Linked DNA regions of Arabidopsis thaliana. The protein of the gene in region 2 interacts with the protein of the main gene of each other region in a pairwise test. Each region holds a gene or a part of one and is shown on either strand. Other genes may lie near its edges.

The links.
Region 1: the proteins of UBC17 (region 2) and RGLG3 interact in a two-hybrid assay, tested with the Arabidopsis thaliana proteins (one study listed by BioGRID).
Region 3: the proteins of UBC17 (region 2) and RGLG4 interact in a two-hybrid assay, tested with the Arabidopsis thaliana proteins (one study listed by BioGRID).

What each region holds. Positions count from the first base shown.
Region 1 is NC_003076.8:25,603,314-25,614,306, reverse strand, and holds RGLG3 (Copine (Calcium-dependent phospholipid-binding protein) family), read left to right. Parts: upstream 1-5,000; 5' UTR 5,001-5,280; intron 5,281-5,319; exon of another isoform or gene 5,320-5,380; 5' UTR 5,381-5,390; coding exon 5,391-5,459; intron 5,460-5,538; coding exon 5,539-5,623; intron 5,624-5,709; coding exon 5,710-5,850; intron 5,851-5,935; coding exon 5,936-6,049; intron 6,050-6,128; coding exon 6,129-6,306; intron 6,307-6,383; coding exon 6,384-6,489; intron 6,490-6,566; coding exon 6,567-6,685; intron 6,686-6,800; coding exon 6,801-6,951; intron 6,952-7,053; coding exon 7,054-7,110; intron 7,111-7,217; coding exon 7,218-7,301; 3' UTR 7,302-7,536; downstream 7,537-10,993. Other genes in the region: AT5G63990 (Inositol monophosphatase family protein), read right to left, coding at 1-83, 173-246, 359-434, 855-920; SAL1 phosphatase-like protein, read right to left, coding at 2,505-2,674, 2,775-2,928, 3,020-3,335, 3,455-3,660, 3,758-3,831, 3,938-4,013, 4,240-4,305; AT5G63960 (DNA polymerase delta subunit 1), read right to left, coding at 7,635-7,722, 7,828-7,915, 7,993-8,060, 8,144-8,304, 8,390-8,479, 8,571-8,645, 9,085-9,156, 9,294-9,466 and 8 more. UniProt on the Arabidopsis thaliana protein: Possesses E3 ubiquitin-protein ligase in vitro.
Region 2 is NC_003075.7:17,197,815-17,207,275, forward strand, and holds UBC17 (ubiquitin-conjugating enzyme 17), read left to right. Parts: upstream 1-4,107; 5' UTR 4,108-4,154; coding exon 4,155-4,184; intron 4,185-4,287; coding exon 4,288-4,391; intron 4,392-4,467; coding exon 4,468-4,570; intron 4,571-4,658; coding exon 4,659-4,722; intron 4,723-4,804; coding exon 4,805-4,893; intron 4,894-4,980; coding exon 4,981-5,076; 3' UTR 5,077-5,174; downstream 5,175-9,461. Other genes in the region: D2HGDH (FAD-linked oxidases family protein), read left to right, coding at 1-105, 194-295, 451-498, 596-666, 798-916, 1,004-1,099, 1,204-1,313, 1,413-1,493 and 6 more; AT4G36420 (Ribosomal protein L12 family protein), read right to left, coding at 5,904-6,443; AT4G36430 (Peroxidase superfamily protein), read right to left, coding at 6,834-7,246, 7,365-7,530, 7,607-7,798, 7,879-8,103; AT4G36440 (G-protein coupled receptor), read right to left, coding at 9,399-9,461. UniProt on the Arabidopsis thaliana protein: Accepts the ubiquitin from the E1 complex and catalyzes its covalent attachment to other proteins.
Region 3 is NC_003070.9:29,858,744-29,870,169, forward strand, and holds RGLG4 (Ca(2)-dependent phospholipid-binding protein (Copine) family), read left to right. Parts: upstream 1-1,747; 5' UTR 1,748-2,068; coding exon 2,069-2,263; intron 2,264-2,510; coding exon 2,511-2,595; intron 2,596-2,682; coding exon 2,683-2,823; intron 2,824-2,900; coding exon 2,901-3,014; intron 3,015-3,086; coding exon 3,087-3,184; intron 3,185-3,256; coding exon 3,257-3,336; intron 3,337-3,427; coding exon 3,428-3,533; intron 3,534-3,612; coding exon 3,613-3,740; intron 3,741-3,853; coding exon 3,854-3,971; intron 3,972-4,049; coding exon 4,050-4,106; intron 4,107-4,196; coding exon 4,197-4,280; 3' UTR 4,281-4,573; downstream 4,574-11,426. Other genes in the region: CYP79C1 (cytochrome P450, family 79, subfamily C, polypeptide 1), read left to right, coding at 1-429, 521-794, 1,050-1,420; AT1G79390 (centrosomal protein), read right to left, coding at 4,722-4,901, 5,333-5,533; CHX2 (cation/H+ exchanger 2), read left to right, coding at 6,249-6,407, 6,510-7,493, 7,717-8,648, 8,821-9,097; OCT5 (organic cation/carnitine transporter5), read right to left, coding at 9,294-10,841. UniProt on the Arabidopsis thaliana protein: Possesses E3 ubiquitin-protein ligase in vitro.

The DNA.
Region 1 (10,993 bases), on a different chromosome or scaffold from region 2:
TCACTTGCAAGAGTATCTTTGACAAGCTCTGTAATACGAGCCAAAACGGTCTCAGCAGCAATCTTCCTTAACTCACCAGAATCCTACACATAAATTACAAAGTCATAAACAAAATCCATCTTAGTTCAATCAAGAAAAACCAGCAATGTATTATTTTGTATATGTTTGGCACCTCTTCAGCCACTAAAGACACAGGTTCATTCTGGAGTTCCCTTTCCAGTACAAGGCTAACCACCGCCTGCGAACCTAAAACAACATGACTTTGTTTCATTAATGAGCCAATAAAGATATCGAAATCTAAAGAGTATAACAGAGAAAGATATCATTTTTCTGAGTGATACACAATTTTACTACTAACCATAATCAGCAACAGTAACAGGACTATCATCTGATTTGTTCCAAACGTCAGTTACCAACAGAGATTTCCTCACTTCCTGGAAAAAAAGCAAATCAATTTCACTTGTTATAATCTGACTAAAATACAAAACAAAAACCCAATTCCTATAAACATTGAAACCGAAGAGATAACAAGATCGAAGATTTCAGTCACGTCTAGCTAGATCCCCATTTCATATTTTTTCATAAATAAAAAATCTCAGATTTTCACATCCTAATTCGAAAATACTCATATCAGTTGACAATTTACAGGAAACAAGAAGAAAAAGTCTACACATTTAACTCCACAAAAGAGTTCAAAGAAAACATCTAACTCTCCTCGAACACGTATCGCAAATGTCAACGAGCAATAAGAAGAAGAAAAAAGAGAAGAATTTATGGTTTAAAATGTAAATCGAGAAATCGCAGAGAATCAATCATGTGATGATCCAAAAGACGGAAGAAACGAGTGATCGTACGTTGCTGAGACGAGCAGCGAGAGAAACAGCTTTCTTCGCAGCAGAAAGCATCTCATCGTAAGACATTGAAAAATGGGTAAAGCAAAAGAGTACCACGAAGTTGAAGAAGAAAATCTCTGAAAGAATCGATTTTTATGATATGAATGGAAAAACCTCTCGCGACTCTGAAGCAACTTCTCTTCCCAATTTTTATTTTGATTTAGAAATATACGTAATACTAATAAAATAATAATTAGTTGATTGAATATAGTTTGGTTTTTGGTATTTAAAATGTATTTATTTGCCAATCTCTCTACCGTTGTGGAAAAGTAGGCAAAGTATAGAGTCCCCTACCGTTGCGACAATGATAAGTTTCTCTCACGTTGTCTCATTCCTCTCTTTATTTTGTTTATTATACTCACCAAAATTTTATACTATTTTTTAATTAATAGTTTTATTTTTATTTTATAATTTTGTACATTTTAAAAAGTTTTATTATTATTAGAATACTCTGCAGATTTCAGATGGCATATTGCAAAACTGCTATAATCCAAATGAGGAAAACATAAATACATGTAAACAATCCAAGAATGAATTGGTCCAATAGGAAGATATTTTCTTAGAGAGAGATATTTCATTTTATATGAATTCAGATTTTTATATTTTATTTAGTAATATATATGTAATTTCGGTAAGTTTGCTTTCTTTTTGTAGGTGAAGATAACAATCCTGATTAATTTTATGTTTGGCAAGAAATAGTATATGATTCTCAACTTTCTAATTAAATTATTTTGGGTTCGTTGTATTTGTTTAGTCTTTTCTGATATGCTTTTATTCCAAAGAGGTTATATGCTTCTTCTTCCTTTTTCCCTCTTCTTTTATACTAGCTTACTAAATTAATAATTAGAGGTATGCTAATCTTAATTAAATTATATTGCAAATTGCTTTTATAGATATTGTAAATGACGTGTGTACCTTTTGTGTGGCCAGGTCTTGTCAAATCTTTCGCTGAAAACAGGTTATTGTGTGTTATATCAACAACTTATCATTATTAACACAAAATATCTTTGTAACATGGATTAAAAACAAAGCAGCTAGTATATATTATTCACATGAAAAGATTAAAAAAAATTGTGCGACTAGTAGATTTGTGATCGCCCCTTTATAAAGTTTGACTAGATCACTAGACTACATTTAATTATTTACAAAGTCTCAACGATTCCTTTCATCGTGAATGGGATATTATTGGGAATAAAATCACGAATTTCTAAAAGTTGCACAATAATATATATTTTTTTGTAAGATGGTACACAATAATATTTTAGTTATACTATAACCAAAGAAAAAAAAAAACTATTTACACCATATTAATTATTTCTATATGAAGAGATTTTCTACTTAACGCGCTTACTTTCGTATTAAGATAAAGTATCTACGCACTGTAGACACGTACGTCGGTGCATCATGCATGTAACCCTTAAAAGGCCTTTTTACGGCCCGTTACTGGTCCATATTAAATTCTCTACATAACCCTTTATACTTAGCCCAAAACAGAATTTCATTTTTATTTCTTTTTCGAAAATGGAAGAAATTCTCACTGGTGAAATTCGGTGAAAGAAAATGAAACAACAGTTACAGAGAAACAAAGAACGTACGAGAGAAAAAAACAAATCAGAGAGCTGAAGCTTTCTCTTGCTCAGCTATGGAGTCACGAACTGCTTTCAAAAGCAGAGGCATTAGCTTCTCGTTAGCAACGATAATGCCTGTGTCCAAATCAAGATACTTCCCTTTCGAGAAATCCAGTGGCTTTCCTGCTGCATCTGTCACTATTCCACCCGCCTCTGCACCAAAAAGAAGAATCAACCTTGCATTCCTTATCTATTTACATCCGCATGTCGACACTATAAAATTAGCTTCATAGAGAGTAAGCTTTAATGTTACCTGTAACAACTATAGCACCAGCGACATGGTCCCAAATCTTTTCGCGGTATCCTTTATGAGGAAACCGTAAGTATATAGCTCCATCTCCTCTTGATAAAGCTCCATACTTTGCTTGGCTATCAATACGGACTGGTGGAGCTTTGACACCGAGTTTCTGTATATTACAACATAGAACATGATCAAATGGATGAGGAAAATTAGTTAGCTATTAGCTGGAATCACATGGAAGGAAAGAAGCAATTTACATTGGCAATGGAGCTGGATAAGTCATGTAGAGAGTGAGCTCCTTCGAATGACTCGAAGAACGATGCCTCTTCAGGATTCTCAACACTAGAGACTTGCACTTTTACAGGAGAAGATTTTGAATCTAGGAGCTGCATATATGTCCCTGAACCAATTGTAGCAAAGAAGAGGCATCCAATTTCGTCTGACGAAGATTTGTTCTTGTTGTTTCCTGCTATGGATGCTAACGGCAAGTTTGGACAAGCAAGCACACCTAAAACTACTTTCCCTTCCTCGAGCAATCCTAGTGCTACTGCGTATTGATCTCCCCTCAGAAATCTAAAATCATGAAAATGCTCAGTGTCAGGAACATAACATCTGACTCAACATTCTATCAAATTTACATTTTCTCTGAAATAAGAAGATTTGACTTTAGGCTAGTTAGTTTTAAAACGTACCCTTTAGTGCCATCAATTGGATCCAAGACCCAGTGTCGACCATTTGGACCACCTTCAGATGTTCCACAGTCAATGGCTCTAAGTAGATCATCAGTAGACAAAGTAGAGCCATTAAACGATTCCTCGGTAGCCAAAGTGTCGTTCACGAGTTTTGTGATGCGCTCCAGAGTATCCTGAGAACCATCCTTGCGTAGATCGCCTGAGTCCTATATAGATCATTTTAGACAATGTGAGTCCATAAACACAAACTCAAAGATAAGTAAAGTGTGAGACATCTAACAAGGATTTATTAAGCAGTTTCACCTCTTCAGCCACCAATGAAAAGGGTTCAGAACTGAGCTCTTTTTCTAAGACTAAACTAACAACTGCTTGTGAACCTGAAATTCAACACAAGACAGATCAAATTAAGTGATTTCCTAACAATCTCAGTAACATTCAAAGAGAAGAGCTTTTTCTAATCAGGGACAGGTATAACAAACTAACCATAATCAGCAACGGTCACTGGACTTTTATCAGATTTTGATTGCACATCTGATTGCAACAAAGCCTTTTGAACTTTCTGAAACAAACCCAAAACACAAAGATAAGATTTTGATCAAAGATTTACACGAGCTTCGTATGTAGAGGACCATTACACTATATCACTAGAATCTATTCCCAATTACAGATGCAATGCACAATAAACACAAAATGTTAAACGAAATTTGGAAGATTTACAAAATGGGTTTCTTAAAGAATCAAACTTTAGAATCTATGGGTCATGATTGAATCGAAAAAACCCTAACCTGACAGAGACGAGCAGCGAGTGAAGCAGCTTTCTTAGCAGCATCAAGCTCTTTCTCGTAAGCCATCGATGAAACAACTCTGAGAGTAACAAATGAAGGAGAAGAAGACTTGCGTCCGAATACAGAAACGAGACGGTTCGATGAATTTCTAGGTCTCGAATTCGTTCTTACTGCTACAAATGATTGAAGCGGAGCCTTCGCTGTTCGAAAACAATTTATAGACATCATTCGCTTTTCAAGAAGATAAATATATGTCTTCACATTTTCTGATTGCAGAGACAATTATTATTACTTTTTTGAATTTCCCATTTACACCAGTGTACTTATTTATTCTCTGAACTTAAACCCTAAACTTTATTTTAGATCAAGAAAGGCCATATTTGCTCTGTTGGTTTAGGGGTCCATGTGGCACCAATTGAAAGAACAAGTACAAACGGTGAAAATCATAAAAATAAAAAACTTTAGTGATCTTCGTAGATTGGTTGTTGAGTTTTGGGCTAATCGCACGTGGATGTTGTGGTTGAAACATAAGTGAATTTATAGGTGGTGAAGATACAAAAAGGCTTCTTGATGAATGAAGAAGCCCAATAAAAACGGTTCTGGGTTAATATATTTTGAGGGAATCAAAAGCCCAAATAATTTTCTTCAGACAAGAGCTACAGCTTTGCCACGTTGTCCACATGAATCATGTTGAAATTTGGTCTATGATTTTGGGTTATGGATAAATCATTAATGACGCAGAGACAAGACTAAAAAAGATTTCTAGATTGATGATGGCGTGTGAGAGAGCAAAATACGTTTTGATTATTTGCCGGCGCAAGCAAAGGGTCACGTTCCACTAACTTTCAAGATTCAACAAAACCCACTTTCTATAGTTTTATATGTTCATTTTTTTCTGCTAAAGTATTTTTATATGTTCATATTTCTCTTTTGTGCCATCTTTTTAATAATTTAATCTTCCTACAGAAGATAATCTCCAACAAAAGTTTTTTCTTACAAGAAAGATTCCGAGAAGTCTTTTGTGTTTTCAACAAACTCCAGGTTGATATATACTTGCCACTTGTGTAACTGTATCTTTTATTCTTGATTTTGATTGGTTTCTTCTCCAAAGATTGGATTTCTGAAGGTTCTTGTGCTGCAGGGTTTTTTCAATGAACATGAGCAATAAACGTAATCAGCAACCTTCGTATATTGCTGATCATTTCAGCAGTTTGGATCAGGTCTCATAAACTTACTTAGTTATTTCTTGATTTTAGTCTCTTTCATAGTGATGAATTTCTTGTGAACTTTGCTTTTTAGGTGATAACTTCTCTGAGAGAAGCTGGACTTGAATCTTCAAATCTGATTCTAGGAATTGACTTTACCAAGAGCAATGAGTGGACAGGTAATTATTTGATTTGATAAAAAATGCTACACATGTTTACGAAAAGATTCAATGGTTTTGGTTAATGTTCTGAATTTTCATTGCAGGGAGATATTCATTCAATAGAAAAAGCCTTCATGCCATTGGTAAAAGACAGAATCCATATGAGAAAGCAATATCGATTATTGGTCGTACTTTGTCTCCCTTTGATGAAGATGATCTTATACCTTGTTTCGGTTTTGGCGATGGTTAGTTTCTTATTTCTTGCTTTCAAGATGAATGAATAAGATAAACCAAAGTTCTTAATGGTTTTATGTTTTCTTCTTCCTGCAGTAACAACGCGAGATCAATATGTATTCAGCTTTTATCCCGAGAACAAAAGCTGCGACGGATTGGAAAACGCAGTTAAAAGATATAGAGAGATTGTCCCACATTTGAAGTTGTCCGGTATTTTTGAACTTTCAAAAATGGAGCAGTTTTGTTCTCTCTTATCGTAAAGATTAATCAGTGTATTCTTCCCTCACAGGTCCTACCTCGTTTGCACCGGTTATTGATGCTGCCATCAACATAGTTGAGCAGAACAATATGCAATACCATGTTCTCGTCATTATCGCAGATGGTCAGGTCACAAGAAATCCAGATGTGCCGCTTGGTCGACTTAGTCCACAGGAAGAAGCTACTATGAACTCGATAATGGCAGCGAGGTAAAACTATTCAATAAGCTCATATTCATGATCAGACTTCATATGTATACTAATGATGTTTGATATAAATTTTCCAGCCATTACCCATTGTCGATAGTCTTGGTTGGAGTAGGAGATGGACCATGGGACACAATGAAACAATTCGATGACAATATTCCTCACCGTGAATTCGATAACTTCCAGGTAATATAATAAAACCCTGAATAGCTCTGTTTTGTTCCTGAAACATGAATCATGAAAAACTGTGTTTTGTTCCACAGTTTGTAAACTTCACGAAGATAATGTCAGAGCACAAAGATGCGGCTAAGAAGGAGGCTGCTTTCGCACTCGCAGCTCTCATGGAGATCCCTTTTCAATACAAGGCTACATTAAGTCTCAAGTAAATGCAATAAAAAATTTACCGTTGGAAACTACTTGTATCACTCACTGTTTATGGTCTTATTGCATTAGATTCTTTGCCAACTAAACCAACCTTTGATTGTGCTTATGAACAGTAGAAAACCAGTGCGCAGTTCCCATCAGCACCACAAGCCACTCCCGCCACCACCAGAGGTTATAGAGCGTGACAATGCTGTTAGATCGGTGCCAAATCAGATGACAGAAACTGCAGAGAAAAGTGACAGACTCGCTCCTTCCACAGTGCCGGTAAATACTCTATTATTTCTGCCTTTGTTTCTGTTCTTTTGTCAATGAGTATACTCAGTTTCTCTGATACTGAGATTTACATTCCTTTTGTTTTTCAAAAAGGTATGCCCGATTTGCTTGACGAATCCAAAGGACATGGCTTTTAGCTGCGGTCACACGGTATGTGAAAATTTCAAAGGAACAATTATACTCTTACTTGTTCTATGAACTGTACTGCTTCTAGATCGATTTTGTGACATCTCCGATACTTTTTATTTCAAATAAAGACATGCAAGGAATGCGGAGTTGTTATCACAACATGCCCACTATGCAGACAACCAATAACAACAAGGATAAGGCTGTACACTTGACTCGGAAAAATTCTTAGAGATGAGACAAATTATATGGTTAAGCACTTGAGCTTCATGTTTATACTTCTGTAGAACATTGTACAGTCCAAGCAGAAGAATTGTAAAGCATAAATCTCGAGTTGTAGTTCATATGTAATTCTTAGCCTGCCGAAACAAGGAGATATGCGAGAAGAGTTCTCTTTTTGTATTAATCAACAGCTACGTACAAATAAGCCGAAGAGGTCCTTTTTATAACATTCCAAAGAGACCTACAAGTTCTAAATCAAGCGGAAAGTGTAACAGCAACGATACCAATGGAAAAAAGAGAGAGCTAAAAACAACCTTAAATACTTATTAGAAGCTCCAACGGTCGAGTTGTTGCCTGGCTACAGCCATGTCTTTTTGTGCTTTCATTCTCCGGTAAAATATTGGACAATCTCGACTGTAAAAGACCAATAAGAAATCCAGAAAGGAAATTGGATCAGAACCTATTTACCTGCTGAAAGATTTCTAAAAGAAATTGATATCGATAAAAATATAAGCAAACCTGGTGCACAAGACATCTTGATGAAGAGAGCCTTGACACTCCTGGCACTGTGTCCACAGCCTCCCAAAAACCTCTTCAAGCTCAGCCACTGAATAACACAACGAAAGTATCAAATTTTATAGATATATCAAAGAGTCTATAGGAAAGGGAAAAACGGCAGCATACCTTGAGACACGTTTTTGCAATATAACTCGGCTTCTCTTCCCTTGCAACTTGCGCATAGTGTTCCATTGCTGGTTGAAGTTAAAAGCGAATATTGATAAACAGATCCCATATATGAAAACAGATAATACATAGGCAAGGGACCACAAAGTACCTGATCGGAACTTTGCAGCCAACACAGCTCAGTTGTTTTTTAGCAAACTTCATTATACCGCTGTTTGAAGGAGTAGTGATTGATATTGACCTCGTGTGACTTCCATGGAGAAGCTCCTTGCTAGCATTTTTCAGGACTGGCTCAAAAATCCTAAGAAGTGGCTGAAAACAACATCTCCTTTAACCTACAATCACCAGAATAAAGAGTATAGAATAAACTTATACACAAACGCCATGTTGAACTGACCTTGCTAATCTGATTCTCCAAGTAGTAATTTGGGTCTATAGGGATATTATTCTGTAGCACGTAGATTGGATCTTCTGATCGTTCATAAGCCTATCAGACGTCAAAATGAGATAAGCACGGAAGAAGAGAATGACCTTAACATCTTATGGAAAAGCTAACACAAGCTTGACATGAAAACTACCTTGGCACCTTTAGCAGCTTTTATGATAACATACGGTACTCGATCTCCAACATTTGGCGCTGTAGCAGCATCCCTCTGTCACATATGTAAGCAAACACTGTCATATTCACATGATAGATCATCAGACACCGTAAAACAGATCTAAGTTTCAGAGCAACCTTTGTATGATATTATATATTCACCAAAAAGCCGGAAAAAAAATTCATATATTCAGCAAAATTATGCATGACTTAAGAAAAATCCCTGCACTTGTGCAGCTATAAAAAGACGACCAAAGAACCATATTAAAATATTATACAAGCCAAAAATTAAAATTTAATTGTTTAGCACTCCCATTTTTCAGTTTGAGAGTGTCCATGAGATGCTGGAATTAGAGTAAAGGAACGAAAATTCCCCTAGACACATTTGTACATGTTTCTTCACGAACGGAAACGGTCAAGAGTTATCTTAACATGTAATGAAAATGCTTAATCCTGCAAATGATAGACGAAAATAGATAAAGAGTACCACAAACCTTACGCATGCGTTCAGCAAGTTCACCATGAGCTGATTTAACTTCATAATCATCTCCTGTTTTCGTTAGACCCTATGATTTGAGGAAACACATCAGGAGCATTATCCATTTGATTCTTGTTTTAGTTTTAACAGATGGCTTTAATCATTAAAATACACTTTCAGGCGATACAAACATCACAGGACAATAAATCAAGTAAAACATATTACCTTAGTAATCACCAAAAGTGACAAGTCAATACGGTTCATGAGAAGATCCGAAATGGTTTTCTTGACATTTTCAGCTGCCCCTGGAACATCTCTATCAATAAGTATTTTGTTAAGACTCTCAGTCACGAGGTTCTTAACCAGTAAACAATTATCCCTTCGTACTGTCTCGATTCCTGCCAAAGTCGGTGATATTGAAATTTAGTCAGGAAATGAATAAGAGAGAGGCTGTAAAATCACGAAGATTTACCTTTGGTGTCCATTTTGTCAAACTGTTGAGGATTTGTCCATAGCAAACCAGCATACCTCTTCTTGTTAATGAGAAGATATGGGAAATAGACCTTTTCAAACTCCAATTTGATGGGCTTTATGACATCATACACAATCAAGAAACAGAGAACGATTCAGCCTGTTATATTTTGTTTTCAAGAAATCACGTAATCTTGCACCTCTACCCCAAGGATTAGGGAGAACCGGAGAAGTTTAAGACATGCTCCTAGAAAATCACTTACTTTGATAAAAGTTCCACTAATGTGTTCTGCAGCTTCCCTCCCCAAGGTCATCGCAGCTTCTACATCCGATACTCCAAATTGCACCATGACTGAATCCGTGTCTCCATAAATGACCTAATACATCATAGTCCATCAAATTCGAGAAATCTAAGAGCAAACTTAATGATTCACTCAAGTCTTTTCAATACAACGAATAATTCAATGAACATGTACCTCTGCATTGTATTGATACCCTCCCAGTGTTGTGAATTTGTCTTCAACAAGTTTCTTTGTTTGTTCAATCATCTGACGACCTTCAAAAAGATACAAATCCATCAGAACGAACCTAAAAGGCTACGTGTCTAGAAAAGTTGCAGTTTCACAAAAGAAATACCATAGCTAGTTACACTCGAGGATATTTCTAAGCATGGTAACTGCCCAACAGTGGCTCCCGTAAACCCGTAGACAGAATTTGCACTGATCTGAGAAAAAATAGAAAACAAATGTAAAAGAGCAATTTACAGGGAGGATATTGTTCGAAATTTTCCGAGGATTGTAATCATTTTTCTGAATGACCAAGTTAAAGAAGCTGGCAGTAAAGAAGTTCACCTTCAACGCTAACTGTCTACCATCTAAAACAGCCTTCTCAAGGGGATCCTTAGCCTCCTAGATTAGACAATACCAGTTTCAATAGTAGTAGTTAAAGGCTGTATACAGATACGCACACACTGCAAGAGTTTCTTCGGAATCAAATGTTTTACCTTTAAATCTGCTTTAGCTCTCTTACGGGCAGTAAGAAGCTCTTCGAGAATTTCTGGAAGTATACCCTGAAATAAATTATTCATTTTGTTAATAAACTGCTGTCTTCCCTGAATTTATTAATTGGTTGTATTTCCTGAAAGAACTCATTCAACAGAATTTGCGGAACTTGAGGATAATAAAAATCTAACTAAATGCGGAAACCTTTTGCAAAGTTTGCTTAACAAATGTTTCCCCTGATGGAGTTTTAGTGACATGTTCAGGTGGAAGATTCAGTTTGCGTACATCTTCAGGTGTCACCTTCAAAGACAAGAACATGGAAATAATGCTCCCAAATTAATAAGGTGTATAAACAATAGATGATAAAATAAATAGAAATTGAAAAGAAAATATCAAAAGAATTACCAAGGTGCAGTAGCACAGATTATATGCCATCATAATTGACGGGTACAG
Region 2 (9,461 bases):
AACGTGGTTGAAGATAAAGAAAGGCTTGAGACTGCTAATACAGATTGGATGCATAAGTACAAAGGATCTAGTAAGCTGATGCTCTTGCCCAAGAATACACAAGAGGTGTTTTATTTCTCTCTAGTCTCTACCGTATTACTTTGTTTGGATTGCGATGACTATTTGTGTTAAACATAGATTATTTTTAATGCAGGTGTCTCAGATACTTGAGTACTGTGATTCGAGGCGTTTAGCAGTTGTTCCTCAAGGAGGAAACACTGGTCTTGTTGGTGGAAGTGTGCCTGTCTTTGATGAGGTTCTATACTGTTTCTCTACTCATGTTGATTGGTGACTGTCAAAAATCTTGGATAGGTAGTGTAGAAAAGCGAGCAAAGAAAATTTTCAGGAATGTGAGAGATATACCGAAAGAAATGAAATCATAAACGTGACTAATTTGTGGCATCTTTTCAGGTGATCGTCAATGTTGGTCTGATGAACAAAATCTTATCTTTTGATGAGGTAATTGGCAATCTTATATTTAGATCAACTGCTGCTTCATTGTTACTTTGAGCAATATAATTATATACTTGATGATGATACGATGCTCTATCTTCAGGTTAGTGGCGTCTTGGTGTGTGAAGCAGGATGCATATTAGAAAATCTGGCAACTTTCCTTGACACAAAAGGGTAATAGAACCATGTCTTCGTACCTTCTTTTAGCAACAATGAACTGAAAATTAATAGAAGAGTGTTTCATTATTACTCAACTAGCTCGGTTGTTTTGTCAGATGTAGCAACATAAATTTATGCTTCCTCAGTTTTATTATGCCTCTAGACTTAGGTGCAAAAGGAAGCTGTCATATCGGTGGAAATGTTTCAACTAATGCTGGTGGTTTGCGTCTAATCCGTTATGGCTCACTTCATGGAACTGTATTGGGTAATGACTTACAGTTTTAGTTACTTTCGATCCATCTGAAAACATTTGGATTTCATGTTCTCATCATTTTTATTTTCTTCATCTCAGGTCTAGAAGCTGTCACAGCAAATGGCAACGTGCTTGACATGCTTGGAACTTTACGCAAAGACAATACTGGGTACGACTTAAAACATTTGTTTATTGGTAGGTATTATATTGGCTTGTGCTTGTACAATGATTTCAAGTATCACTTCATCAGCAAAATAGACTAAATCATCTTGATTTTTTCTCTTTACTGGTTTCCACAGGTAGTGAAGGATCACTTGGTATTGTAACTAAAGTTTCTATTCTCACACAACCAAAATTGTCTTCTGTAAATTTAGCCTTCATTGCTTGCAAAGATTATCTCAGCTGCCAGGTTTAATACAATTTCTTTTGTACTCCTGTAATTGAATTCTATCTACAGAGGAGATAGTGCGTGAACTGTTATCTCTCATTGTGTTTCCTTTGTTTGCAGAAACTTCTTGTTGAAGCAAAGAGAAATCTTGGAGAGATACTCTCGGCTTTCGAGTTTCTTGATAACAATTCCATGGATTTGGTAAGCTTTTAGGAAGTTACTAATAGGAACTGTTTGCATTCCTGACACTTTATCTTGTGCACAAGGCTTTGATTTTGCTAAACCCTTTCTGTTTTTAATTCATTCAACAGGTACTGAACCACCTAGACGGTGTACGTAATCCAGTTTCCTCTTCGGAGAACTTTTATATTCTGATCGAGACAACAGGGAGTGATGAAACTAATGACAGGTATTGAGAATTTTCTGGTCTTTCTGTGACTTTCACAATTTTCCAGTACCATTTAAATGAATTCTAAGTATTTCAGATCCCTTGAGAGAGTTTTTGTCTGATTCAAAAACTAATGCAGGGAGAAGCTTGAAGCTTTCCTGTTGAAGTCACTGGAAAAAGGTTTAGTTTCTGATGGTGTAATCGCTCAAGACATTAACCAGGCATCCTCATTTTGGCGCATACGAGAGGTAAAACACTTGAGAGTTATTTCCTCTGAAAAAGCTTGATGGTACACGACGAATAAAGTCATAATCATAACCCTGCAGGGTATAACAGAGGCGTTACAGAAAGCAGGAGCTGTTTACAAGTATGACTTATCCTTACCGGTTGAAGAAATTTACAATATTGTTAACGATCTTCGAGGGAGATTAGGTAAGATATATATCAATACATTGTCTCCTAATTACTTGAAACCGAAAGATTCAATGAAAACTGCAACCAAATATGCAATGCTTCAGGTGACTTAGCAAATGTTATGGGATATGGTCACCTTGGAGACGGAAATCTACATTTAAACATCTCAGCCGCGGAATATAACGATAAGGTAAAATTCTGATATCCATATGAAACATTCCAAGATGTTCAAGTGATCATTCATTCACTCTTTTCTTGCAGCTTTTAGGTTTGATAGAGCCTTATGTCTATGAGTGGACATCAAAGCACCGTGGAAGCATCAGTGCGGAACATGGATTAGGTGTAATGAAAGCTAATGAAATCTTCTACAGCAAATCACCCGAAACTGTAAGTTAACAACAAACAACGTATGGAAACTATGTATAGAACTATCGTGTCACTCTATTCTTACCGGAATATAATATTATGCAGGTTGCATTAATGGCTTCCATTAAAAAGTTGCTGGACCCAAAGGGAATTCTCAACCCTTACAAAGTTCTTCCTCACTCTCTCTTCTCCAACTAAGGTAAAAGATTATTATGCTTTATGATTACGCACCGAAATTATTGAAAGCATCTATCTTTCTATCTATGAATGCTCTTCCAACGTCAAAAGTGAAGAATCATCATCTTTTACTTTGGAATCATTGACATTCTTTTTTCGGCGAATGCAAGGGTGGTGATGAGATGATTCTTCAAACAGGAATTTGGAACATGAGCAGCCAAGTTTGAGCGATATGATTGATGCAAAGGAACAAAAATACAAGTGCTGATTAAAAAGTCTTTAAACTCAAAAGTGTATATGCTTCGCTTCTTCTTCTTTGTTGTTGTTGTTGTTGTTACCTTGTTTTAATATCTTTTTAGTAAAGGATAAGAAAGAATCTAAACCTATTGATCTTACGTGTATTTAAAGTTAAAATTTGCAGTGTATGTAGACCAAAACTCGAAAAGATAATCTATAATAATAGTATTTTCAAGAATCTTCACATAATATCTTTCTATTCTTGGAATTTCTGTTGTAATGGATTTTCTTATTTTGTTCACAAAAAGACTTTATTTTTATTTTTCCCCATAGTTCTGTTTTTACTTCATGTATTACCTTTCTTTAATGTCTTACTAGGAGAAACCAGATCGGTCAGATAAACCGGAATAATATCTGGTCCGATTGATTTGTATAAGTCTAACTAACTTCTCTAATTTAAGAGATAAGCTATAGATTTTAACATATTTGTTCTAAGTTCTACCAAGTATATATTCTTCTGAGACCTAAGTTGGACCTAACTAGATAGGAATATAAGATCCGTATTACCATAGTTCATAGACCATAGTTTCCATGGAACAAATGTGTACAAGTTTTGGTTTAAGGTGAAGCCAATGCATACAACAACATCATGCATCATAATTGTAATTATGACTAGTCAGTTTTGATATATAATCAAGTTGCTTACAACTTTTGTAACCATCGATCCATTCAAAATAATCAGAAGGACAAGGGCAATAAGACAATGAAAGCAATATATCATCGCTAAAAATCCAAGGCATCGTTGAATGATGGATCCATAAACCGGAAATAAATTAAAATAATGTTACAAGCCAACTTTTACCTGATGCATGTATCAATTCTTATTTTTGGTTAATATCAATAATATGCATGCATCAGTTTGGTTATCCTAAAATTTACATAACTCAGATATTCATAATGGTATGAGATTTTTAATTTAAGAAATTTGGTTTTCCGAAATAGATATTGGAATGTTTTATGATAATATTCCTAACTGGTTTGATCATGATCGCGAGAGTAGCAAAAGCGTGTAAGATTCGCTTCTCCAACACAAGTGGAAAGTCCCGGATTAAAGAGAGCCGACACAATAAAAACGACGTCGGATTGATGACTGGACATAGACCCAAACGCTTTAGACACATTGCAAAGATGATAAGACACTATAAAAAGCTCACTGGATATGGCTAAGGAGACAAAACACACACAATCTCTCTCTCTCACACTCACTGTAATAAACACAAATGACGAGTTCTTCTGAATCAACTCGCAAGGTTGGTTAATTGTTTCTTTAACTAAATATAACAGTACCTTTTTGGTTATAATTCCATTGTTGTCTTTGGTTTGATCATCTCTCTCTTGTTCTTACTATGTTAGGGTCTGACCAAAATCGCCACGAACCGGTTGCAGAAAGAGTTCATGGAGTGGCAAACCAATCCTCCTTCTGGTTTCAAGCACAGAGTCTCTGATAATCTCCAACGGTACATAATCATTTTATTGTCTTTCCTTCGAATATTGATAATCGGTGATGTAATGTTGAATTGTTGGTGTAAACAGATGGATCATTGAAGTGCATGGAGTTCCAGGAACTCTTTACGCCAATGAAACTTACCAACTTCAAGTTGAGTTCCCTGAGCATTATCCTATGGAAGCTCCACAGGTTCGTCCTCTAACTCCTTTTGTTAATACTTAACGATACTTAATCATCGCATCAATCTCATAACCCGATGGTTCCACATATAAAACAGGTTATCTTTCAGCATCCAGCTCCACTTCATCCTCATATTTACAGCAACGGTCACATTTGTTTAGGTAAGTACATACAAACACAATGACTCACTCTGTTTCAAAGTCCAATGACAAGACCCTTCTATGTGTTCTTTTGATTATGCAGATGTCTTGTATGATTCGTGGTCACCGGCGATGAGACTAAGTTCCATCTGTCTCAGCATTCTCTCAATGCTCTCCAGCTCATCCGTGAAGGTTTGTGTGTTTTATCTTCTTCTCATATTTCAAAGGCTTTCACAGAATAATCTTCTTCTTATGATGTTTATTGTTCTCTCCTTACAGCAAAAGCCGAAAGACAATGACCATTACTTGAAAAACTGCAAACATGGAAGATCTCCCAAAGAAACTAGGTGGCGTTTCCATGACGATAAAGTATAACATCTCCTATAATATTGTGATTACAAACGAATTGTAAGATCTCAGGTCGAGTTCTTGATCTGTTGCTATCTTTAAAACAAGAACAGCTTCTTTCTACAGTTTAACCATACGAAAAGCTTGAGCATAAAACTTGAAAATTTGGAAATAACATGATTCATTATTATATGAAAGAAATCATCAACTGTTAGTACAAACCAAGAACTGAGAGAATGATTGATCCAAAGAAGAGAGAACTTTGCTTCTAACAAGCCTTCGTGTATATTTGATAGAAGACAAAAATCTGTTTCTATCTCTAAAGAAAAGAGCTGCTGATGACTTTCCATCACATCTTACATTTGTAATAAACACTAGGAAGGACTACTCAGCAGAAGCTTCATTTGTTCTTGCTCATGCTCCATTTTAATAACACCTGCAATGTCAAAACCTAAAGCTTAAGCATATGAAGCAAACACGAATCATACAGATGCTAGAATACCTACTAAAAGTGTTTATAGACCAAGCAATTTCACATGTTTCCCAATAGACTACAAAAGCTATTCTAATTGCTCTTGCTCTGTACATTTCGACAAGAAACTTCAAAGGCCCTTCATGAAACTCAACGTCAAGCTCAGAACTTTACTCCCCTTACAAAAACAAAGCAAGCAACTTTATGCAATTCCAGAATCAAATTAATGTTCATTTCCAATTCTCAAACCTAATAAGCACTAACAATTCAACACCAAGCTCACACAATCTCAAAGCTTGTTTATTCCCATAATCAAACAAACTAAAGCTAGCTAATCCATCTGCTTAGGAGCAATCGAAAGTATAGAGGTACCTAAAAATGGTCACTCCATAGCAACTTTAGCTCCAACAGCCTTCAACTTCTCAATGATCTTCTCTGCTTCTTCCTTACTAACTCCTTTCTTCAACAATGTTGGAGCTTTCTCCACCAAATCTTTCGCTTCCTTCAACCCCAATGCCGTAATCGTTCTCACTTCTTTAATCACCTTTATCTTCGACACTGCATCGTACGCTTGAAGCATCACATCAAACGCAGTCTTTGCTTCCTTCTTCTTCTCTTTCCCTTCTCCGCCGGCGGATTTACTAGCTCCAGATCCCGGTAATGACATCCCTGGCATCATCGCCGCCATCACAGGCAATTCACTGATGTTTAGCTTCTGCCTAAGGATCTCAGTAAGATCCATTGTTTCCAAAAGAGTGAGATTCGATAGCTCATTGACGATTTTGGACACGTTCTCCGATTGCGTCGCCGGAGATGAGTAGCTCCGAGATTGGATCGTGAATAATTGAACGGAACTTGAGCGTGTCTCGGTGGATTTCAAAACTCGTGAGAAGTGAGAGGAGATGATTCGCAGATTCCTCATAGTTTTCACTCTCTATCGAATTGATCTTAGCTTCGTTGAGAATTCATGTCAGTGCATCTGAAGCTGAAATGTGAGAAGAAAGCATAAACCCTAACTAGTGGGATGTGAAATGGGCCTTTATGGGCCTATCAGTTTTAAGATTTAGTGTTTTCTGAATTCATAAATTATTAGGTTCGGTTAGGCCCAATAATAGTTTAAAGTTTATAATTTCAAAATATTTCCTCGTACAAGTTTTATAAATTTCAAACTTATGTCTTAACACAACGCAAATAACACGAAATAAAACTTCCAAATGACAGAATTGAAAAAAACAAACAAAACACACTCCAAAGTAAAAGTAAATGTCTCACATTTGTTCCACAAGATATAAGAAGAGTTTTCTTGTTTCAATCAAGAGTTAATCTTCCTGCAATTCTTCCTGATTTCGCCACTAGAACCTGTCAAGGGAGAGATATTTCCCATCTTGATCATCGATTCCGCAAATTGCTCAAAAAACTCTCCTTGATCTTCTGCATACTTCTTCACAAGCTCTCTCGATTTCTCGTTACTGCTGAACAGAACTTGGTCCGAGTTCAACAACCCCTTGTTCTCTATCAAGTTCTTGAAGTAGCTGTTGTCGAAGCTCGCGGCGCTGATGATGTCTAGCACCGAGAGAATCTGGTCCCCACCGGATTTTGGACACCGTTGGCGCAAGTTAGCAGCGAAGGATTGTTCCAATGTCATGTCTGGACTGCCGTTTCCGGACTGGTTGTACAACCTCTGTCTGAAACTCGTGCATCTCGAGAATCCGATTGTGTGACTACCTGAGATAACATTTGAGAAGTGTGGTGGCTTGAGAAGCAAGTAATGTATAATGGATTTTTTTTAATTGTGTTCCATGTGTGTGAAGCAAGAAACTGTGATAGAGTGACGAAAGCTTACCGGAGAGAGCGACAAGGTCAGTGATATCAAGTCCTTGACGGTTAAACTTAGATAGAATGGTCTGGAAAGTGTTGTTTGGTGCAGGGATGTTGTTGTTCGATTGACTCAAGCTTGCACTTCTTGAATCTCTTCTTCCCAATGGAACAACCCAACTTGGTCCACCGGTCTAAACCAAAAACCAACCGAGTTAGCTGATGTTTCAGTTTTGGTTCGAGAAAATAGAGATTGTGGAGGAAACTTACAAGAACAGAGGAGTCTCTAGCGGCTAGGGTAAGAACATCAGCGCAAGAAACAGTTCCAGGGCATTGTTTCTCCAGTTCAGCTTTGATTTGGTCAACTACGTCAAACCCACGAGCTGATTTGCTGTTAGGGTTTGAGTTTTTCTCAGTCGCTACCCTTCCACTGCTGTCTAGAAGCAAAGAGCCATCACAACCCTACATTTCACAGTTACCTTGTTTAGCAAGTAAACTTAAAACAACATAAAATGTTGAAACGTAAAAGAAATTAACTAAACCTGAACGAAACAGTCGTGGAAATGAAGTCTCAACAAGGAAGCAGCCATACGTGTCTCTCTAGCAACAGCTTTAGCTACAACTGATCTCACGATCTCATTGACTTGTGGGCATGAATGGGCGTAATAACCCGGGAAAAGTTTGCCTCCATAGCTCTTGTCGCAGAGACAGAGAGGGACAAAGCAGATGAGAGAAAGAAGAAGGAGAAAGCTCGTGAGTCTTGCCATTACTTTCAACAAGAAGATGAGGAAATGAGAAGACTTTGTGGTGAGTGATATGAAATAAGAGGGGAAGAAGAACGTATTTATAGGAAAAGACTTGGAAGAATAAGAAACGGAGTTGGTATTAGCTAAATTGGGATGAAGATAAATAATCAAGGGAAATGCAAACAATTAAAAATTGTAAAAACTTATTGGAGAAAAAGAAGATTAAAAGAGACTAATGCTTGGGTTTGGTACCCAGCATTGCATGCTAAGTTTGACTAATAAACCTTTTTTGGTTTAATTAACTAAAATTAATTTGACTTTGGAGACTTGGAGAGGTAAAAGCAAAGCAAACTGAGTTTTTAATATTTAGACTTTATATTTTTATCCATATTTTAACGACTCATAACAATAATTTGAAGAATAAGCTTCTTTTTCCCTAGGAATATATAAATATTGGAATTTTCTAAACATAAAACCATACAGATATATGTGTTCAATATTGATGTTTAATTTGATATAATTTCTGACTTTCTGACTTCTTCAAAGAAAGATGGAGAGTAACTAAACCACCTCTTACGGTCGACAATCATGATCACTAATAGTAATTATTTTTCCTACTAGAAATGAAAAATCAGTTTTCTTGTCAATTTAGATCTTAACATGATAATATATCTCAAGATCAGAATCGTAGGGAATAGGGATGTTTTAATCAACTTGGTTTGATCTAGAAGTATCGATATTTTTGTTTTATTTTCGGAAGGTGAGAGTAAGAGACTAACTTTCACTGATAATCCTTTTGTAGAAGTAAGATAAAAAGCGAGGTAACCAAGTATGAATAGAATAAACAGATCATTTTTCAAGAAAGTAATAACCAATATAAAGCCTAGATTAAACTAAATTCTAAAAGAGGAATGCGAAAAAACAATATTACTTTTTGCAAAAGGACTTGGTTAATAATATCCACAAAACCTTAGACAAAGTCCAAGTCTTTTTTTTGTCTTAGTGAGAAAGGCAAGAGAGTAGGAAGAGATTCTAACCACTCCCTTGACAAAAATATGTTTCAATCTTTGTTGACTTTATAACGATACTCTTGTTCTTGTAACCTAAGCAAAGAAAGAACTCTTGTTTGCTTTGTCTTTTTCTATCATAGCACATGAATCTGGTGAAAACAACATTCTCACGGTGAAGCTATTAACTTTTTGACCTCTTTCTAGAAGGTAGAAAATAAACATACAAAGCAAAATCCAGAAATCGCAGATCACAAGCGTGCCATACCATGGCTTGAAACAGTACCTCTTGTGAGGCACTTGACAAAATTAGATCGCACCATATGTTCTTTCACTTGGTCTCTGTGTTGTTGTCGCTTGAGTAGAAGATGC
Region 3 (11,426 bases), on a different chromosome or scaffold from region 2:
AGAGATATTGTGTGCACTCACACACACAATGTGAAGATGAGACTCTTGTTTGGTCGGAGACATTTCAAGGAGACGACGATGGACGGGAGTCTCGGACTTATGGAGAAAGAACATTTTGACGCAATTTTCGCGGCTCTTGATTGTTTCTTTAGCTTTTACGTAGCCGATTACTACCCTTTCTTAAGAGGATGGAACCTCCAGGGAGAGGAGGCTGAGTTAAGAGAAGCCGTTGATGTGATTGCTAGGTACAATAAGATGATTATCGATGAGAAGATAGAGTTGTGGAGGGGGCAGAATAAAGACTACAATCGTGCGGAGACGAAGAATGATGTTCCTATGATCAAGGATTGGCTCGACATTCTCTTCACTCTTAAAGATGAGAATGGGAAGCCGTTGCTTACCCCGCAAGAAATCACACATCTCTCTGTGGTTCGTGATAGAAATATACTCATATAATTACTACCAATTAGTTTGTATATTATATATCTGATAAGTTATGGTTTCTTTTTGGTTTTGGCAGGATCTTGATGTAGTAGGGATTGATAATGCAGTGAATGTAATAGAGTGGACACTTGCGGAAATGTTGAACCAGAGAGAGATTCTAGAAAAAGCGGTGGAAGAGATCGATATGGTTGTCGGAAAAGAAAGACTTGTTCAAGAATCCGACGTACCAAATCTAAACTACGTCAAAGCTTGTTGCAGAGAGACCCTGAGACTTCACCCTACCAATCCTTTCCTTGTCCCTCACATGGCACGTCATGACACAACTCTCGCTGGCTATTTCATCCCAAAAGGTATCTCATTTTTCCCCAAAATTTATGCATTTAGGCGTATTTGACTCCAACTCCTTAAATGTAGAATCAGGAATTCTAACTATATTTATTTTTGCTTGATTTGAGCAATATTTTCATATTAGAATATTTGTTCCTTTGATTTATTATTTTGGACTGAAAAGTGAAAATAAGTAGATTGTGACATACGAATCTTTCAAATTATTATTTTATTTGTTTATTAACTTTAATATATTGATTGTTTGATGTGGATCACAGGCAGTCATATTCTAGTGAGTCGTCCGGGTGTTGGTCGAAACCCTAAGACATGGGATGAGCCACTCATCTACAGGCCTGAGCGCCATATAACCGGCAACGAAGTGGTGTTGACTGAACCAGACTTACGACTTGTTTCATTTGGAACTGGTAGACGCGGCTGCGTTGGAGCTAAGCTTGGAACGTCCATGATTGTTACGTTGTTGGGTAGGCTTCTCCAAGGGTTCGACTGGACCATTCCTCCTGGTACGACGGACAGAGTCGAGCTAGTCGAGTCAAAAGAAAATCTGTTCATGGCTAATCCTTTGATGGCTTGTGTGAAGCCCAGATTAGATCCAAACATGTACCCGAAACTCTGGACCGGTCCAGCTTGATCATACCGGTTAACGGCACCACATTTCAATTGCTATTGTCATGTATGAGTAAAATTTGAATAAAGTTTTTGTCTTGAGGAAAAGTTGAAGAGGAATATAGCCCATAACGTTCATAAAAGGCCCAGCCCAGTATTGTTCTGCCGTTTTAATTTGAGCAAAGTAAGCTTCAAGTAAAGAAACGGGTTGAGTGCAAAAATGGAGAAATTAACTTGCAAGTTGAGATTAGCACATAAGAAGAGTATCTAATTCCATCTTGTTCACAAAGTCATTCTTTTAGCATTAATGATCCTATATTTATATCAAATCTCATAAGATCTTCAGTGTATAATATATAGTTTAATTTTTTTCTAGGTTTTCGTTCGAACTCATGTGGGTTCAGTAAATAAATGTTTAAGTCCCCATCTGGCCGCGTCAAAAATACTTAGATAACAACAATTAGTGGTTGACATAGAAAAGTAATGATTGTTGCCGCGTAGAATGAAATTAATAAAATTATAAAGAACAGTGAAGCAATAAATGTTTCCTTGGCGTCTTGAAGAGTAGTCTTCTTAAATATTCCAGCCCAAAAAAAAAAAGATTCTATCCATTATCAAGAGAAGAAAAAAAATCTGAATTCCAATTCGAAGAAGAAGAAGAAGAAGAAAGGAGATGACTATGGGGAATTTCTTAAAGAGATTTGGAAGTGGAAAAAGCAGAAGCAGTAGAAATATGACTCTGGGAACGACGTCGTCTCAATCTCATGAACCATCACCGTCGGATCCTTCACTCTCCCTTGCCGATAATACCAACGCCACCAAGAAGAAGTACGCTCTCATCCCTGACCGCTTCTCTTCCCTCGACCAGGTTCTCTTCTTTTTTGTATCTCTCAATTTCTTGTGTTGACTTGACTTTTGGTTCACCATGTCTTCTGCTACTTCCATGTTCTTTGAGTTCTTCAAAAGTCTAATAGATGTATATGATTATTTTTTTTCTCCTCCATTCATTCGTTGACATTGGGACATAAAATGATTTTGAGTAAAAAAATTGTCTGGAAACTAATTAGAGATGGAGAGTTGTTACTGAGTGTTAACTAGTGAATGGTGTTTAAAAGGTATCAAAAGCTCTAAGAGAAGCTGGTCTTGAATCATCCAATCTCATTCTCGGAGTTGATTTCACAAAGAGCAACGAGTGGACTGGTACCTTCAGCAAATACAACTTATTGTTAAATTCACATATATATTTTTGCAACTGTAAACAAAAAAGTGGTTAACGTTCTGTTTCAGGGAAAACTTCTTTCGATGGAAAATGTCTGCACGCGCTCGGCGAAACTTCGAATCCATATGAAAAGGCGATTTTTGTAATCGGCCAAACGTTGGCTCCTTTTGATGAAGACAATCTCATCCCTTGTTTCGGCTTTGGCGATTGTAAGTTTTTCTTTCCCAAAAATATCATCTTCAGTTCACTCTCTGTTTCTAAGACTCTGTTTTCTTGCACTATCCAGCAACAACTCATGACGAGGAAGTGTTCGGTTTCCATAGCGACAATTCTCCATGTCATGGCTTCGAAGAGGTCTTAGCATGTTACAAGAGAATTGCACCCAACTTGCGTCTATCAGGTCTTTCTTTGAAAATCTAAATACTACCTTCCATAGCTTTATCACCAAATCACAACCTTCCGTGTTCAAAAGGGCCAACGTCGTATGGACCGCTCATCGATGCTGCTGTCGACATTGTGGAGAAGAACAACGGACAATTCCATGTTCTGGTGATTGTTGCAGATGGACAGGTAAAGTTACAAGCAGTTAAGAGAAACAAAGTATGATACCAAAACTTAAAAGGCTACCTTTTGAATGTTAAGGTAACGAGAGGTACGGATATGGCCGAGGGAGAACTCAGTCAACAAGAGAAAACAACCATCGACGCGATTGTAAATGCAAGGTAAAAAAATGCAGATTCAGTTTTTCATTTTTCGCAACTCGATTTGCGGTATCTAAACAAGCCTTTTTCGAAATTCCTTTATTATCTACAGCTCGTATGCTTTGTCGATTGTTTTAGTCGGTGTTGGAGACGGACCATGGGAAGACATGAGGAAGTTCGATGATAAGATCCCTAAGCGTGAATTCGACAACTTTCAGGTATCTTCCCAGTTTCTGTGCTATTTTCCATCTATATTCTCTGCTTTGAGCATCTTCTTGATCTCTGGTCTATGCATAGTTTGTGAATTTCACAGAGATTATGACGAGAAACTCACCAGAGTCTGCCAAAGAAACTGCTTTTGCTCTAGCTGCTCTAATGGAGATTCCCTTTCAGTATCAAGCAGCCATCGAACTCCGCTTACTCGGGTACTTCCATAAGTTCTCAGCATAACAGAACTACCGTCTTTCTGCTCTATTTTTTTTTTTTTTGTCTAATTGCTTCTGCTGGTCCCTGTCCACTTCTGCACCCGTCTATAAAGGAAGCAGACGGGCTTAGCGAAGACAATAGTTCCGAGGCCACCACCAATTCCGTACACACCTCCAACTAATGCTGAACTACCATCAACTGCATCACCTGCATCACCTGAACAAACCCAGGTCTCATAATTTGTATACTTTACTATTTTTCTGCCTTGTCGAATCAACTCCAATCTCATATGGTTTTCCGTTTAACAGAGTTGCCCGATTTGTCTGACTAACCGAAAAGACGTGGCTTTCAGCTGTGGCCACATGGTAAGTTTCACCGATTGCTTTTAGTTTACTCAAACCCATTCATTAATCAACAACCAGTTTTAACTTACCTTTGCAATTTTCCTTTTGCAGACTTGTGGAGATTGCGGATCCAAAATATCAAATTGCCCGATCTGTCGAGTAAGGATCACGAACCGGCTAAAGCTTTACACATGATCAATGGCCACGAACTTTTTTTCTGACCACGGCTTTACACGTGATCAATGCCAACAAACTTTATCTCTGCACATAACAAATCGCTTGCACATAGCCATCTCCTTTGTAGAATCTACAATTTGGTTTGCCAAGTGTTTCTGACAATGTTCCACAATCAGCGTGTACCATGTAATTCTGTATGTACTGTAAAACATTAACTTTGCAAACAAGAATGAAGAAGCAATGTACAAATTACAAAACATAAGTTTTACATTTTATTCATCATAACAAAAGGTTTGAAGTGATTGACATTGTAGCCGTTTGCATAGCACAAAAGTTGTGTCGCTAGATGCCGGTTTCAAAAACAAAAGATATTACGGCCAGGAAACACGCCATTTTTGTATCGACAAAAGATTCGAGTGAGAGGCATTCACTAACATTGACTCTTAAAATAATTCATCCTTACTGAGTTTTGGTTGTCACCGTGTCATCTGGCTTTGGCATTGGTTGGATTCTTTGATAAGGCTTCCTGGTAAGAGTCTCTCCCCTAAGAGCAGCAACGTATCTGTCGTTTGTATCCTGCTTCTGTTTCAACTCACCAAGATATTCAGCTAGCCTCTCTTGGTTTACTTTACCCATCATCTAACAATACAAAAACAGAAATGTATTGTTCATCATAACACAAAAAGATTGAAGATTAACAATAAGCCTAAGGTTAACATACGGCTGTGATCAATAAACTTCCAATTGAATCGACATTGTGAAGCAGAGCAAGAACTCAGATACATGAAATTCCTTGTTAACACAGAACAATGGATTGGTGTATTAGCAACAAGAAAATGCAAATGCTCAATTCAACATATCGAGGCCTAAACACCTCTAACCTCTAGGTACCCAATCCCATAGGAGCTTTGCAAAGTAGCAGAAAGAATCATCATCAAGCAAAGTTCTACTCATCCTCCAAGAAAAGTTCCACACATCAAGCAAGACAACTATAGGAACTATGTACGAACAAATTGTAACCATCAAGTTCAACACCGATTAGCATCAATAGAAGAAAACCAACTACATACGAGAGTATCTGGGCGAGCAGATTTACGGAGGCGGGCTTCGAGCTCAGGGTTACTGGAATTGGTGACCTGCATAACTCCATAGCCAATAACGCCAGGAATGACACCACATAAAGCAGCGAACGTGAAGAAGAAGGATCTCGAATCTCGCGTCTTCATCACTAGCCATCTCCATGTATTGCTCTTCTCATACATGAACGACATCTCTCTCTCTCTCTCCGTTCTTCTCACCTGGGGTTTTTAGGGTTCATGATTTGACTTACAGGTTCGCACTTTAGCGTTAATTGCAAAGAACTCCTATTTGATTATTTATTTACTTTTTGGACCCCATATTATTCTCATGTTTCGTTTGTATCCTGAACAGTATGTGTATTATAGTTCAGCCCCTATAGTTTGTTTTTTATTATGCCATGAACACTCTAGTTTTCTTTTGGTTAAACAACACCCTGTAAGGCTAAGAGGTAATTTGCAAATTGTCATTTTTACTAGCATCTGTATTATGTTTTACTTGTTTACAAAACACAAAAATTAACTTCCCATATATATACAAAAGATAAGAAATATGTTATGGACTTATGGTGTTAAATCTGTTGATTATTGACCATATAATAACCTAATTATAGTAAACTTTTTGGGTAAAATTTCTGATTACAGTCAACTTAATCCGTTTTCCAAGGGTTGAAATAGAGGCGTAGAGTAATTGAAGGACGTTCAAATAATTGTAAACACATCTATCAACTCCAACCAAATGTAAACTAATTTTTTTTTTTTTAATTTCTAAATTACTTGTGAAAATTATAAATTCTTGTTTTAGAAAGCATTTTCAGTTTTTTTTTTAACATAAGGTTTAATTTTCATAAGCGTATCATCACCATCACGCTTGAAGAATGCTCATGATCATCGAATCAAGAAGAAGAAGATGGATCCAAAGTTGTTGCTTTGCTTACCTCAAGGAGATGAACTGTTTAATCCCCTTAATACCATGTTTATTCAAATGGCTTGCATTCTCGTCTTCTCTCAATTGTTTTATCTCCTTCTTAAACCCTGCGGCCAAGCTGGTCCCGTTGCCCAGATTCTTGTAAGGAAATTTCTTTCTTGCGTTACAAGAATCACCCGGTTTTTTGTAGTGGAAAATGTCTAACAAGTTTTTGTTTTGTTATCCATATTGGATATTTTTTAGGCTGGGATTGTGTTGAGTCCTGTTTTGCTCTCAAGAATACCTAAAGTTAAGGAATTCTTCCTCCAGAAAAATGCAGCAGATTATTACTCCTTCTTCTCCTTCGCTTTACGGACATCTTTCATGTTCTTGATCGGTCTTGAAGTGGATCTACATTTCATGAGAAGAAATTTCAAGAAAGCTGCGGTGATAACCTTGAGCTCATTCGTGGTTTCCGGCCTCCTCAGTTTCGCTTCCTTAATGTTATTCATCCCTTTGTTTGGGATCAAAGAAGATTACTTTACGTTTTTCTTGGTTCTTCTCGTTACCTTGTCTAACACGGCATCTCCTGTCGTAGTCCGTTCAATCGCTGATTGGAAACTCAACACATGTGAGATCGGACGGCTGACAATCTCATGTGCGTTGTTCATCGAATTAACAAACGTGGTTCTCTACACTATAATCATGGCGTTCATCTCTGGAACTATCATACTTGAACTCTTCTTGTTTCTTTTGGCAACCGTAGCCCTAATATTGATCAACATGGTCTTAGCTCCATGGCTTCCAAAGAGGAACCCTAAAGAGAAGTACCTCTCAAAGGCTGAAACTTTAGTTTTCTTCATCTTCCTTCTCATCATCGGTATAACTATCGAATCCTACGATGTAAATTCCTCGGTTTCTGTTTTCGCCATTGGCATAATGTTTCCACGACAAGGAAAGACTCACAGAACGTTGATACAACGGCTTAGTTACCCGATTCACGAGTTTGTTCTTCCGGTTTACTTTGGTTACATTGGATTCAGATTCAGCATCATCGCGTTAACCAAACGCTTTTACCTCGGTATAGTTATTATCGTGATTGTAACCATAGCTGGGAAATTTATTGGTGTAATAAGCGCTTGTATGTACCTGAAGATCCCTAAGAAATATTGGCTTTTCTTACCCACCATTCTCTCTGTTAAAGGCCATGTCGGTCTTCTTCTTCTAGACTCCAACTATTCCGAAAAGGTACGTTTACTTATATGATTCCGCTACTTTTATACCATTCACATTAAGTCTTGTTCAATTGTAGAGTGTCTGTTATTGCACACCCACAACAAAACAACAAAAAATGTTACACATGTTTTAGGGTCTGGTATATTTTGGTCAAGAACAGACGAACAATTAACATATATAATAACAAAAACTTATGGTTCTTTTTTTCCCATTCTTTGTCTGAATCTACCTGTAGAAATGGTGGACCACAACTATTCATGATATGATGGTGGCTGCTTTGGTGATAACGACGCTAGTAAGTGGTGTTCTGGCATCTTTCTTGCTTAAAACAAGAGAGAAGGACTTTGCTTACGAGAAGACTTCGCTTGAGTCTCATAACACGAACGAGGAATTACGCATTTTATCGTGCGCCTATGGAGTCCGTCATGCTCGCGGTGCGATCTCTCTTGTCTCGGCCTTGAGCGGTTCTCGTGGAGCCTCTGATCCGTTTACACCTCTGCTTATGCACCTTGTACCCCTCCCCAAGAAACGAAAATCGGAACTGATGTATCATGAGCACGACGAAGATGGAGGCAATGCGAATGGAGATGACGAATTCGGGACCAACGAAGGTTTAGAGATCAACGATTCGATTGATTCGTTTGCTAAAGACAGCAAAATCTTGATCCAACAAGTGAAGCTCGTGACTCAGATGCTTAATATGCACGAAGAGATCTGTAACGCAACAGAGGATCTTCGAGTTTCCATTGTATTTCTTCCGTTTCATAAACACCAGAGAATCGATGGGAAGACTACAAACGATGGGGAACTGTTCAGACAGATGAACCGTAATGTTCTAAGGCACGGTCCGTGTTCCATTGGCATTTTTGTGGACCGTAACATAACCGGATTTCAGCAGCCGCACGGGTTTGATTCTGTACAACACGTCGCGACATTGTTCTTTGGTGGTCCGGATGATCGTGAGGCTCTTGCTCTGTGCAGATGGCTCGCGAATAATACTCTGATTCATCTCACAGTTATACAGTTTGTCTCCGAGGAATCAAAGGCAGAGACTCCTGTTGGAAATGCTATGACACGAGATAATAATGAGGTTTTCATGGAAGTTCTGGGAAGGAATCAAACTGAACAAGAAACAGATCGGAGCTTCTTAGAAGAATTCTATAACAGGTACCTTACTTATACCCTGTTTTTATCACTGCTCTGTTTTGTGTATACTCTGTTTCTGAGAAGAGCTCTGTTTCCCGCCGCTACTCTGTTTCTTTGTTTCTTATCTAAGCTAGGGAAAGTTCAGTTTCCATCAAAGAAACTACTTTTGACATTATTTTCCACTGTGCAACAGATTTGTAACAACGGGACAAGTGGGGTTCATAGAGAAGCTAGTGAGCAATGGACCGCATACGCTGACTATTCTAAGAGAGATTGGAGAGATGTATTCACTGTTTGTGGTCGGAAAGAGCACAGGAGATTGCCCTATGACGGTGAGAATGAAAGATTGGGAAGAGTGTCCGGAGCTTGGAACTGTCGGTGATTTCTTGGCTTCGTCTTTAGATGTAAATGCTTCTGTATTAGTAGTTCAAAGACAGAGACATTCACATGATAGCTTTATAGATGATTAGCAAACGTTTCCTAGTTTATGCAGATTTTTGTAATCAAGAAAATGAAATGGTTCAGTTTATAAAAAATACATGCCATTGTAGGTTTCGCATATTAATTACTCGGAAAATCAACATATGGCTTGATTAACCGGAGCTAAACAGAGGTTTTATACGAAAGTTCAATAAAAGAACAGAGGTTTTTCAAAAAACTCTGCTTTCAGCAACTATGGCTAGTCTTCAAGGCTTGGTCTCTTTGCTCTTGCTCTTCCATTGTATCACAAAGACTTAACCCTTTGGTCTCAGGAAGAAGCAAAGCGAATAACCCGAGACCCGACATTGCAAATCCGAAAACTGCAAAAGAGAGTGACGGCACATTTCTTCCAAGCGAAGCAATGAGTGGGCAACAAGCTCCTCCAACCACAAGCGCTTGTCTAAGCATCATTGTTGCACTATTCCTCACGCATGTAGGAAATAACTCAACCAAATAAATCGCCATTAAATTGAATCCAATCCTAGCGCAGAAGAAAGAACCGAGTTCGAGAGCAAAAGCGATTTTTGTTCTTCCGTAAAGGCTCATTACGAAACAGAGCACTCCTGATGCTCCTCCAATTAAGCAATTTACAAGCACAGAGCTTCTCCTGCTGAATTGCTCGAGCAAGATCGGTGTAACAACAAATGTTGGTAACTCCACCATGGCGTTTAGGGCTTCGCTCATATAAATGTTCACTTTTATGTCTCTAACCGCTAATGGAACTCCATAATACGACATTCCCAACCCAAACATTATGATCATAACAAGTGTGACTCTTCGAAAAGCCCATTTTATAATGAACAAGTCTTTGATTGAGTAGCTTGAAGTTTGCTCTAGTGTTTCTTTTGGACGTAACCTCGAAGATACGGATTCCAAGTAACCTCTATTTGCAGGTGAAATCCGTTTGAGCACTTCAATGGCTTCTTTGTTCTTCCCTTCCAAATGGAGCCAACGCGGTGACTCTAGGGCAAAGAAATAGATGAAAATACTGTGGATTCCTGCAGGAATGGATGTGCATAGATAGAGAACTTTCCAAGAAGCGTGTCGGACAAGGTAAGCGATTCCAGACAACGACATGAACCCTAACACAAACAGAGTAAACGGAACCATAGTAGCTCGCGGTCTCCATTTGGTGGAAATTCGCTCACTTATCAGAACTAACGCGTATGTCCCGGTCTGAGAACGCGCGAATCCGATCACAAACTTTAAGAAGGAGTAGATCCATATGTTGGAGGATAAGAAAATAGAGATTCCAGTGAGTGACATTGCGAAACTCGAGAAAAAAAGAAGTTGCTTCCGTCCCAAGGAACCGTCAGGGATCATAGCCAAAACGACTCCACCAACGATAGAACCCACATAAAAAGTTGAACTAGGTAGACTTCTGAGGAAGGAGCTGGAGCACTCGAGATCGAACTCTGAAATGACTGATTTACCTTTGAAACCACCGTCCCAATCCCAAGCTGACCGGGGAATCTTACAGATATCGGTAGTTGCCGGATTGCAGATCGTGTGGTCAAGACAGTGCCACGTGGGATATGCATCTGTGAAGACGGTGATGAATATCTGCTGAGAGTCAAAGGTTAGCGCGAGCCCAACGAGAACTATCTGTAAGAACTGCGAGAATCCGAAATCAGACAAGCTTTTCTCGAGGATCTTGTCGAAAGTCAGAGGTGAAGAAGTGTCTTCATCTTCTTCAATGTGGGTGGGCAACAATGGTGCCAACGAATCCGCCATGGTTGCTTACTTTGATCGATCTTGTTGAGAATGTGAGAATTATTACATCAAAATTAAAAACAAACAACTAGTACTTTTGAAAATATATAATGTGTGGTCAAGAGATCTGATCTTTGATGATCAATGAGAAATTGTTTTTTTCTTGTTTGTTTTTGTCTTTTTGAACAAACTGTTTAAGATTTGTATCTGTGCGGGCCTTTTTGTGTTAAACTATGACCAATAATAATTGAAGCACAATATAAATACATAGTTGCTGATGTAAGTACATGCGACATATCAACATGGACACTTCTGCTTATAAATTCATACTGGGCCGTTAAGTAAAGCCCATTTTAATTGGTTACTCAAATTGAGAAGTCTACCGCTCACGTGTGGCCCACGATAAGTACGTTATGCTTCCACATGTTGCAGAGAATTGTGAAACTTGACCACTCAACTCTTAACATCTCGCCGATAATTTTTTGTTTTTGTTTTTTTTGTTTTTGTCATAATTCGCCAAGAAATTATGTTATATATAATATAACGAATAAAGAAAGGGGACTATCAAATTGAATAGTAAAATAAATTATTATAAGCTTGGCTTAT